Arabidopsis thaliana: one gene and its partner. The protein of the gene in region 1 binds, or shares a complex with, the protein of each later gene. Each region holds a gene or a part of one and is shown in the gene's direction. Other genes may lie near its edges. The genes, in order: AT3G54630 and AT3G48210.

What was found.
Region 2: AT3G54630 (region 1) and AT3G48210 share a complex: the UniProt entries of both Arabidopsis thaliana proteins name them as parts of the NDC80 complex.

Annotation. Positions count from the first base shown.
Region 1 is NC_003074.8:20,220,374-20,224,939, reverse strand, and holds AT3G54630 (kinetochore protein), read left to right. Parts: upstream 1-1,911; 5' UTR 1,912-2,038; coding exon 2,039-3,745; 3' UTR 3,746-3,843; downstream 3,844-4,566. Other genes in the region: TSA1 (tryptophan synthase alpha chain), read left to right, coding at 80-226, 320-385, 478-663, 993-1,070, 1,164-1,241, 1,338-1,397, 1,475-1,609. UniProt on the Arabidopsis thaliana protein: Acts as a component of the essential kinetochore-associated NDC80 complex, which is required for chromosome segregation and spindle checkpoint activity to ensure proper cell division.
Region 2 is NC_003074.8:17,847,316-17,852,371, forward strand, and holds AT3G48210 (kinetochore protein), read left to right. Parts: upstream 1-2,035; 5' UTR 2,036-2,119; coding exon 2,120-2,303; intron 2,304-2,471; coding exon 2,472-2,537; intron 2,538-2,683; coding exon 2,684-2,830; intron 2,831-2,997; coding exon 2,998-3,111; intron 3,112-3,204; coding exon 3,205-3,294; intron 3,295-3,402; coding exon 3,403-3,525; intron 3,526-3,643; coding exon 3,644-3,855; intron 3,856-4,069; coding exon 4,070-4,081; 3' UTR 4,082-4,470; downstream 4,471-5,056. Other genes in the region: AT3G48209 (Plant thionin family protein), read left to right, coding at 366-569; AT3G48220 (F-box protein), read right to left, coding at 4,969-5,056. UniProt on the Arabidopsis thaliana protein: Acts as a component of the essential kinetochore-associated NDC80 complex, which is required for chromosome segregation and spindle checkpoint activity to ensure proper cell division.

The DNA of each region.
Region 1 (4,566 bases):
GCAATCTTGGTCTTACTGATACGATTGGATTTTGTAATTTACAGTTCATTTGCAATTTGTTTAACTTTTATGTGTGAAGGTAGCATTCATACCATATATCACAGCTGGTGATCCGGATCTCTCTACTACTGCTGAAGCATTGAAAGTTCTTGATGCTTGTGGTTCTGACATAATCGAATTGGGTGTTCCTTACTCTGACCCTTTAGCTGATGGACCTGTTATTCAGGTTTAAACCAACTATCAAAATGCAACCTTTATATATGCTTCCCTTGCCTTTTTTTTGTTTGATCATCTTGCTCTTTGTTATCTATTCAACTAGGCTGCGGCAACAAGGTCGTTGGAGAGGGGAACAAACCTCGATAGCATCCTTGAGATGTTGGATAAGGTGAGTTTAGTTTCTGAAGGAAAGATGTGTGTTTGTGTCCCCTGTCAGATATCGTTCCTATATGTGTGTTCTTATTGTTGGACTTGGTGCAGGTTGTTCCACAAATATCTTGTCCGATTTCGTTGTTCACGTATTACAACCCGATTCTTAAACGTGGGTTGGGGAAGTTCATGTCCAGCATCAGAGCTGTTGGTGTACAGGGACTTGTGGTTCCCGATGTTCCTCTTGAGGAAACTGAGATGCTGAGAAAAGAAGCCCTCAACAACGACATTGAGCTGGTAAGCATATAATCTGAAGGACGCATATATCTTGGTAGCATGATTCTCAGTCATGCCAGTGCAGTATAGATTCATTTGTGTATCTTATTTATTTTCTTCGTCTCCTCGAATTTGGTTTTTCTTAGCTGAACCTACGTATCATTTGTCTCTGTGGAGATTTATTTGCCAGCCTTATCAATAGAAACAGTAGAAGCATTGTTTAGTGTAGACACTGAGACTACAGTACTATACATGTGTTTTGCTGGATCTGCCTCGATCTATTTTGACATTCGGCTTTCAGTATCTTTGCCTTTTAGTAAACATAATTTTGCTCAATGTTTGTAATCAAGGTCCTACTCACTACACCAACCACACCAACAGAGCGAATGAAGCTAATTGTTGATGCGTCAGAAGGATTTATTTACCTTGTAAGATCCCTCTCAGTGTATATTTCTCTTTGCAGATGTCACATGTGTTTACTTAATTTGAGAATGTATTGGCCCTTTTTTTGGGTTTAACAGGTGAGCTCAATTGGAGTGACTGGTGCACGATCATCTGTAAGCGGAAAGGTTCAGTCGCTCTTGAAGGATATCAAAGAGGTCTAATAACAGTTTTTTTTTTAAAGATTGTTTCTCAAATATCTTGAAATGATGTAGAAATGCTCAAGTTGTTTAGTCATTTGTAATTCAATGCAGGCGACAGACAAGCCGGTGGCAGTCGGTTTTGGAATATCAAAGCCGGAGCATGTGAAACAGGTCCTAAACCTTACAAAGCTTCTCTTATGTTGTCTTCATAGTTACTTCTTTGCTGACTAGTTTTGTTGTGTCAACAGATAGCTGGATGGGGAGCTGATGGAGTGATCGTAGGCAGTGCAATGGTAAAGCTATTGGGTGATGCAAAGTCGCCAACTGAAGGACTTAAGGAGCTTGAGAAACTAACCAAGTCTCTTAAATCTGCTCTTCTTTGAAACACAAACATTTGCAGACAACATCTTTAGATTGTGTTTTTGATTATTATCGGTGTGTGACAATGATGTCTCAATCTTTTGATACATTTCAAGTATGATTAATAAGTTACTGTGACTCAAGCCACACAACCAGTTGCTCGGTTTACACAGAATAATAAAAACGTTATGACTCAAATTGTTTTCCAATTTGGTTCGATAAATTTGCGACCCGGTTTGATATTATGGTTCGATTAAACCAGAACAAAACAACCCTATATATAATTTCTTTTGAAATGAATGAGAAATAAAAAAACAAAGAAATTCGAAGAGGTTTTTTTAGGTTTTCGAAAATTCAAATTACAAAAGTAATCCATCCCGCTGCTCTATAGAAATATATTTCCCGATCCAGTTCCAGTGTCAGTTGCTTTATCTGTAAAAAGCAAAAAAGAGATGAGAGGCGGAGCCGCGGGAAAGAGAAGAACGACGGTGGGTTTCGGCGGAGCGCCGCCGCCACCTCCACCATCAATCGAGCAACAACGTCACCTCTTTAACTCAAGAGACTCCGACGCCAGTTTCGCCAGCAGCCGTCCTTCATCAATCGGTTTAGGCGGCCGAGGAGCCTCCGATGACAGATCTTCGATGATTCGATTCATTAACGCCTTCCTCTCCACACATAACTTCCCGATCTCTATCCGCGGTAATCCTGTTCCTTCTGTCAAAGACATCTCCGAAACCCTAAAATTCTTGCTCTCAGCTTTAGATTACCCTTGCGATTCCATCAAATGGGACGAGGATCTCGTCTTCTTTCTCAAATCGCAGAAATGTCCTTTTAAGATCACCAAATCTAGCCTCAAAGCTCCAAATACGCCTCACAATTGGCCTACTGTTCTCGCCGTTGTTCACTGGTTAGCTGAGCTTGCTCGTTTCCATCAACATCTAGTATCTAATTCCACCTCCGTACCCGAAGATAACTCCATGAATTTCTTCGCGATTCAAAGCTTTGGTCACTTCATTCGCGGCGAGGATGATAAGGTTAACGATTTAGATTCTCAATTTTTGGGTAAATTGGAAGCGGAGAAGACTAGCGTCGCTGAAACTATCTCTGGTTGTGAGAAAATCTCCGGTGAATTGGAGGCTAAACTTGAGTCACTGAGGAAAGGTCCTTCGAAGAAAGAGTCTCTGGAGAAAGTTAAAGCCGATTTGGAGAATGACGTAAACAAGTTCCGAACTATTGTTGTGGAGTATACTGATAGGAATCCAGCGATGGAGAAAGTTGTGGAGGAGAAAGCTAAGGAGCTCAAAGCTAAGGAAGAAGAGAGAGAGCGAATCTCTGTAGAGAATAAGGAGTTGAAGAAGAGTGTGGAGCTTCAGAACTTTAGCGCGGCGGATGTAAATAGGATGAGAAGAGAGTTACAAGCTGTGGAAAGAGATGTTGCGGATGCTGAGGTTGCTAGAGATGGTTGGGATCAGAAAGCTTGGGAACTCAATTCACAGATTAGGAATCAGTTTCATCAGATTCAGACACTTGCCATTGACTGCAACCAAGCTCTCAGGAGATTGAAGCTTGATATTCAGTTCGCTGTTAACGAGAGAGGGGAAACACCTGCAGCGGTGATGGGTGTGGATTATAAATCGGTGGTGAAGCCAGCTCTGTGTTCGTTGTGCGATGGGATCAAAGGAAGCTCGGCGGAGAAAGTGGAGGAATTGGTCACTTTACAGCACCATAAGTCTGAAATGGCTTCGAAGATCGAATCCAAAAGGAGTCTTCTTGGGTCAATTCAGTTGCAGATCAATGACCTCGAAGAAAAGATGAAGTTGGTGAAGAAGGAAACTCAGGAGTTGAGTACAAAATGTGATTTGGAGGCGAAAACATTGGTTGAGAGTGTGAAAGCTGAGGCTTTGAATCTGGAGGTTGTGGAGAAAGAAGCTGCTGAGTTTGTAAAAGCTTCGGAGCTTAGATTGCAAGAAGCAGTGAAGGAGAGTGAAGAGGAGGTCCAAGCATGTGCTGCACAACTCTTTGCACTTATCGATTCGATATCGAAACAGAAAGAGTACATGGATTCGAAGATATCGGAGATCAAAACCGGTGTTGCTGATACTGCCAGTGCTGTTTCAGAGATATACAAAGCCAACTTCAAGAAGAACCTTGGTATCTAGTGGTTGGAATCAACTGAGCCAAGAGATTGTTAAAAGCGTGAGTAATTCCTATTGCTTTTGTTCACATAGTCGTATTAGCATCTATGTGTGGTATGTATGAGTTTTCAGGATGGATAATTGAAATTGCTCAGCTATGCTAGTAGTATATAAATATCTGTGTTTCTTTTTTCATTGAAACTTAGATGATAGGCACATAATCTAATATTCACAATGTTTAACTCAAAGAACGCTGTTATGATCAAGTTACATAGGATTTCCAATGAATACACTCTTACCTTCTTTTTACCATAAGCTGACTTAGGTGACTTTGATTCTTATTCGGTTTATCCCCTCGGGTCTCTTGAAGTCAGGCTATGTTTGCAGCTCCTCGGTTGTAACCTCTTTGGGTTACCACTTTCTTCAGTCTCACTGAGTTCCTCCTTTACTTGTTTAAAGCTTGCTTACTCATGCATCATATGTGGTGAGAATATCTTACTGATGATATGAATAAGAGAGAGTAGCTATCAAATCAAGAAAATGAGAGGAAGGAGTTAAAAAAGACAAAGGAAACCTAAGCTGCTTATCTATAAAGCCAACACATTATTCTTACCCTTTTGCCCACAAAGTAAATGACACACATCAACTAAAGTAGAAATTTAAAATGCCTTTGAATGCCTTAATTTGCATTTTTATTAAATTATTAACAGAAAAAAGATATGTTGGTTAGTACTAATCCAATACAATACAGAAACGTGTCAAGTATCCTAATCAATAATGGCGGCTCCACGTAAGACAAAAACAAATTAAGGAAAGAGCGAGAGAGAGAGAGAGAGAGAAAAAAG
Region 2 (5,056 bases), 2.4 Mb from region 1:
TCTTCTAGCATAATCTCATGCATGTACATTTATATATGTGTACTCTGGCAACTGACTTTTTTTCTTCTTTCTAACCTTCAATATAAATATTATATGAAACTTGAAAGTAATTATATATATCAAAAGAAATCTAATTAGAACCATTATAAGTAATAAAGAAAAATGTTGACAAAAACAAACTTGCAAAAGTAATAAAGAAAATTTTAATATTTTTAATTATAGTCTAGTCAAACTTTAAATTAATGATTTTAACTTTTCTGGACATTAGTTTTATATATACTACACACACACCTATGACAAAAAAGACATGTATACGTAAACATACACTTACAGGGAAAAAATTAAAGGAAAGAAACTAAAAAAAAATGGAGATGAAGAAATGTAGTATGATCATGATGATAATGATGATGGTGGTGATGGCATCCATACGAGGAGGAGAAGCAATTATAATAAGAACAACATGCAAGCAAATGTGCATCGACCAATGTGGTGGCCGCATCACTGTCCCTGAGACCCCTTGTCTCCGTAAATGTCTTCACGAAAAATGTGGCTTTCCAGCTCCTCCGTAATAATTCGTAACCTCGTATATATTTACGTATATTGATCAAGTATACCTTTTAATTTGTGTTGACTAATAATTTATATTTATCGCGACATTGCAGGATGGAGGCTGTAGGAATGGAAAACCTCATAGGATAGATCCTCATATCCTCAGTTTACTTTTCATAAGTTATTGTTGTGGAAGGAAAGAATTACAATAATTAAGAGTAATGAACAAAAACTCAGTTTACTTTTCATAAGAAATTTTGATGTGTACAATGATTTTTTCCTATGATCATAAAGATTTCCGAGGCCAAAATTAGGGTCAACATTCATTCATATTGGATTTGAACCTTATTTTGATCCTTATAAAGACTTTCTTCGATCGATTTACTTCATCCATATTTTATGGCCCTTTCTCCTTCGACAACAACGCATTAATTCTCAGGACGGGTGCGTTGCAATGTAAAAAGTTCTTTCGAAATATTTCATCCGATTAGTTTTCCTCAAAAGTATTAGTTTCAATTAAATTAAAGATAATAGCCTAATTATAAGATAATAGCTTAATTATAAAGCCAGCCAGATTACTTCAAGTTGAAGTAATCAAGCAAACTATCTAACACTGATAATTCGTTTAAGCTCCGATGCTATATATCTAGCACATGGTTAATGCTATAACAAGTTAACACCCTCTGCATGGTCCAATATCTATAAAAATTCTAAACAGAACAAATTAATGTACAAACACAGAACAAAATAATGTACAAAACACATTTTTGTCCCTTTTGCTTACTTACACAGTAAACTCATTGTCTTATCTACTCATTACAGGTTTTATTGAATTAATTATCAAAAACATACGCACCCATTTCTACTGATATATAGTGAAAATACTCTAATTTATTATTTTAAAAAAAAAAACACTTTGCAGGTCTAAAGTGAGCTAGGGACGTGAAAAAACTGAAAATACATATTGAAACTAGACGAAGGAATTGTTATGTTCAATATGTATTTAGTGTTAATTAAAAGACTAGTTGCTTGAAGGAAGAGAAGACATGCAATGATGCAATGCAGAAAACGTAGTTAATGCATTAAAAGAGTCTTTGACTCTCTAAAGTGTAACCGTAGTATTCGGTTTTGTCAGCTCCTTCGGCTAACTAATTAAAATCCTAACGGTTCAATTTTCAACCTTTCACACACTATTCAATATTACTATTTTCCGAAAAATTGGTATGATAAAAATAATATTATTGTAACTATATTGTAAGTAAGGGTTTTGATTTAGAGCGATTAAAAATGTTATAAATCAAAATAGTGATTGATGCCAAACGCGTATTAAATCAAACGTTTGCCGATGACTGAACTACTTTCGGTAAACGAGAAACCAGACAAATGGGCCTGTCTCAGAATAGCCTTTTAAGGAGCCCAATAAATTTGGACGTAGCACGATATGAAAACGCCATCGTTTTAAAGTTCTCATCACGATGGTTCGCGTTTTGAAGCATATTTTCGAAACTCGAATCAAAATTCAAATGGCGGGCTAAACTTCGATTCAGTCTCTCTCTTTCTCTCTTTGGTGATGGAACAAATTAGCAACATCGCTGGTGGAGACACAACGAAAGAGACTATGGCGTCTCTGGGTCTCATCTGTGAGAAAGATATTCATGAACAGCGTCTTAAAATCGATTCTTTCATCGCTTCTCCTTTCCGGAGATCGATGAACTCTTTAGTGGAGCGAGCTCAAGCCACTGCTCAAAGCCAAGGTAAAATTCAAAATTCGCATAGTACCACTCAGTTCCGTATGACCCAGATCGTAAATTTCACACTTTTTTACGGTTTAGGCTCTGTCTCTCTGAAATTAGGGTTTTAAAATTTCGACATCAGACTGGTAAAATTGAGCGGTTCTGTGAAATGTTTCTTTGATTTTACAGTGGAACTAATGAATTTGAAAGCGGATCTGAGAGAAGCAGAGGATGAGCTAGTTAAAGTGTTGGCAGGTATTATTACCTCAAAAGCTTGAAACTTTGAACTTAGTTTCTTAAATCATAAGATTCTCCTTGGTGTTATTTTCATGCTTACATACATTGTTTTGCTGAGTTTGGATATCTTACTGTCTTTGGGATGTTATATGTTTGATGTTTAGTGAAAACCCGTAAAGAGGCACGGCAAATGGGGATAAGAGATTCCATTTCTGCAACACAATCTAGGATTGAAGTACTTAGAAGAAATTTGCAGCTACAGAAGTCAAAGAAGGATGATTCTGTGAGAATTATCTCCCAACAGTTGCAAGGTATCGTTATATAATTCTGAAGTTCATTATACATACAAGTTTCATGAGTCAGCTACATGCTTTGGGATTTTGTAAAGTGAAGATATCTATAAAAAGTACTCTGCTTGTTTCAATAAGAGATCACATGAATCACTGAAGACCAAGCTAACATATTTCTTCCAATAAAGCCTTGTCAAAATCGAAGGACAACGCTGGTAAAGTCACCGAAGACAAAGCAGATATTCATGAAGCAATCTCTTGGTATAATCATGCTCTCGGTTTTCACGTTGAAGCTGGACATGGTAATAGAGACATTTTGAGTTTGTAACAATCTTAGTTCTATATTACTAAACCTTAGCCCTAAAAGAGCTTTGTTGTTTTAACTTCTCTTACAGGAGTTAAATTCACATTCACCAACATTGATGCAAAAAGGCCGACCCGCGAATTTTCGTTCACAGTTCACTATGGAAATGACATCTACACACGTGAGTATATATATGTCTTCTTGAAGCAAGCATCAACTACATTATAATGTTTACAAAAAAACCTAGTAATATGAACTGTTTACAGTCGTTTACTTATATGATCATCAGTATTGGATAGCGATCTGCAATTGGATTACATCAACGAGATGGTTCAAGAATTGAATAAAACCAATGACCTTTTCAGATTTGTTCGTCTGATGAGGGAGCAGTTTCTGAAATCCACTTTATCTGGTAAATTGTCTCAAGCCTATCCTTTTATAACCTCTATCTCCATAAGTGAGAAATCTTATTTTCGATATATATAAAAGTTGAATATGACCAAGACTTGTGTTTTATTGGATTTTGTCAGAGCTGCCAACACATTCAGGACAACTGCAACAGGAAACGTCTGCCATATCTGCTTCAGCTCCAGCTATATCATTTTCCACTGATACAAACATGTCAACTCCAGAAAACAAAAGATCTAAGGTTCAAGTGAATCGGCGACAAAAAAGAGGTAGCGAATCACCACTCCTAGCTCCTGTATCCACATCTGCCACTCGCCGTTCTTCTCGCTTTAAGGTACTGGATACTCATTGTGTTCTTAAATGTTACAACACCAAACCAAATTCAAAATATTTGTTAGATACTATAGTTTCCAAAAGTAGGATACCAGAACCTATTTGCATAACAACTGGACATAATAATGTTCTATCTGATTAATAATACTTAACTGATCACATGGAGCCTATAGTATTTAACATACAACTTATATAGCAACTCTAACTTGTTACAGGGTAAGAAATGAAGGTGGAGCTCTGTTTTCCTTTTCACAAGCATCAAGGAATAAACTTAAGCGTAGATGATGCTGCGGAACTTTCGACAACAACAGATTGTTGTTTGAAATTCCTATAAATATTAGAATGTCATTGTAATCACGCTTATTGACAATGTTGATTTCTTTACTAGTGTGGATGCTATGCTTATACACCAATCGATGATGGAGCTTGTGGGACTAGATTTTAATCGATGTAATCTCGCGCTTCTCTATTTCTAGATTTCGTTAGCTAATGGATGCTTGTCTAGCTTCATTAAGATTGCGCATTAGAGATAATGATGGATACTTGAGCCATAGATTGTGCATTAGAGATGTACAGTTTATGCAATTTTAAAACTAAAAATATAGCCACAACCATATTTTCTATCTTAAATTAGACAAGAAAACAAATCAAACACCATTCTCCAACTCGTTGTTCCTCTTGAAACGACTCTTCACCTCGCTCATGAAGGCGAAGAAGGGATTTGGTGTAGCCAACGCGGGAGAACGAACATGGAAAAGTATAAGTGATAAAGGTCTTCCAACATGTTACAATCCCCAGCAAAACTCAGAGTTTGATAATCTTTGCAACATTCCAAGCTGTTGTGAAGCCCGAACTTGTCTTTACGCAAATTAGTAGACCCCAAACATGAATGCATCTTGCACCACATGTACATTGTATTAGCATCAAAAGGGTTTATTGCCAGCGGAATGTAATCAAAACCAGTCTCACTACAAGCTAGAGATATTTCAGATACTATTTCCCATTCCCGGCTCTTTAGCCTCCATACACGTAACTTATGCTCTACATGTGCATCATCTTTGTCTTGGGAGAAGATGTTCATGTACATGATATATCCTTGAGATGTTGTGCAAACTCATTTTAAATTTGGTGGTTTCGTTCCACCGTCAGGGAAAGGTGTAACTTGGCATCGATCAGATTCCGTGCCAGTCGCGTAGAAATCA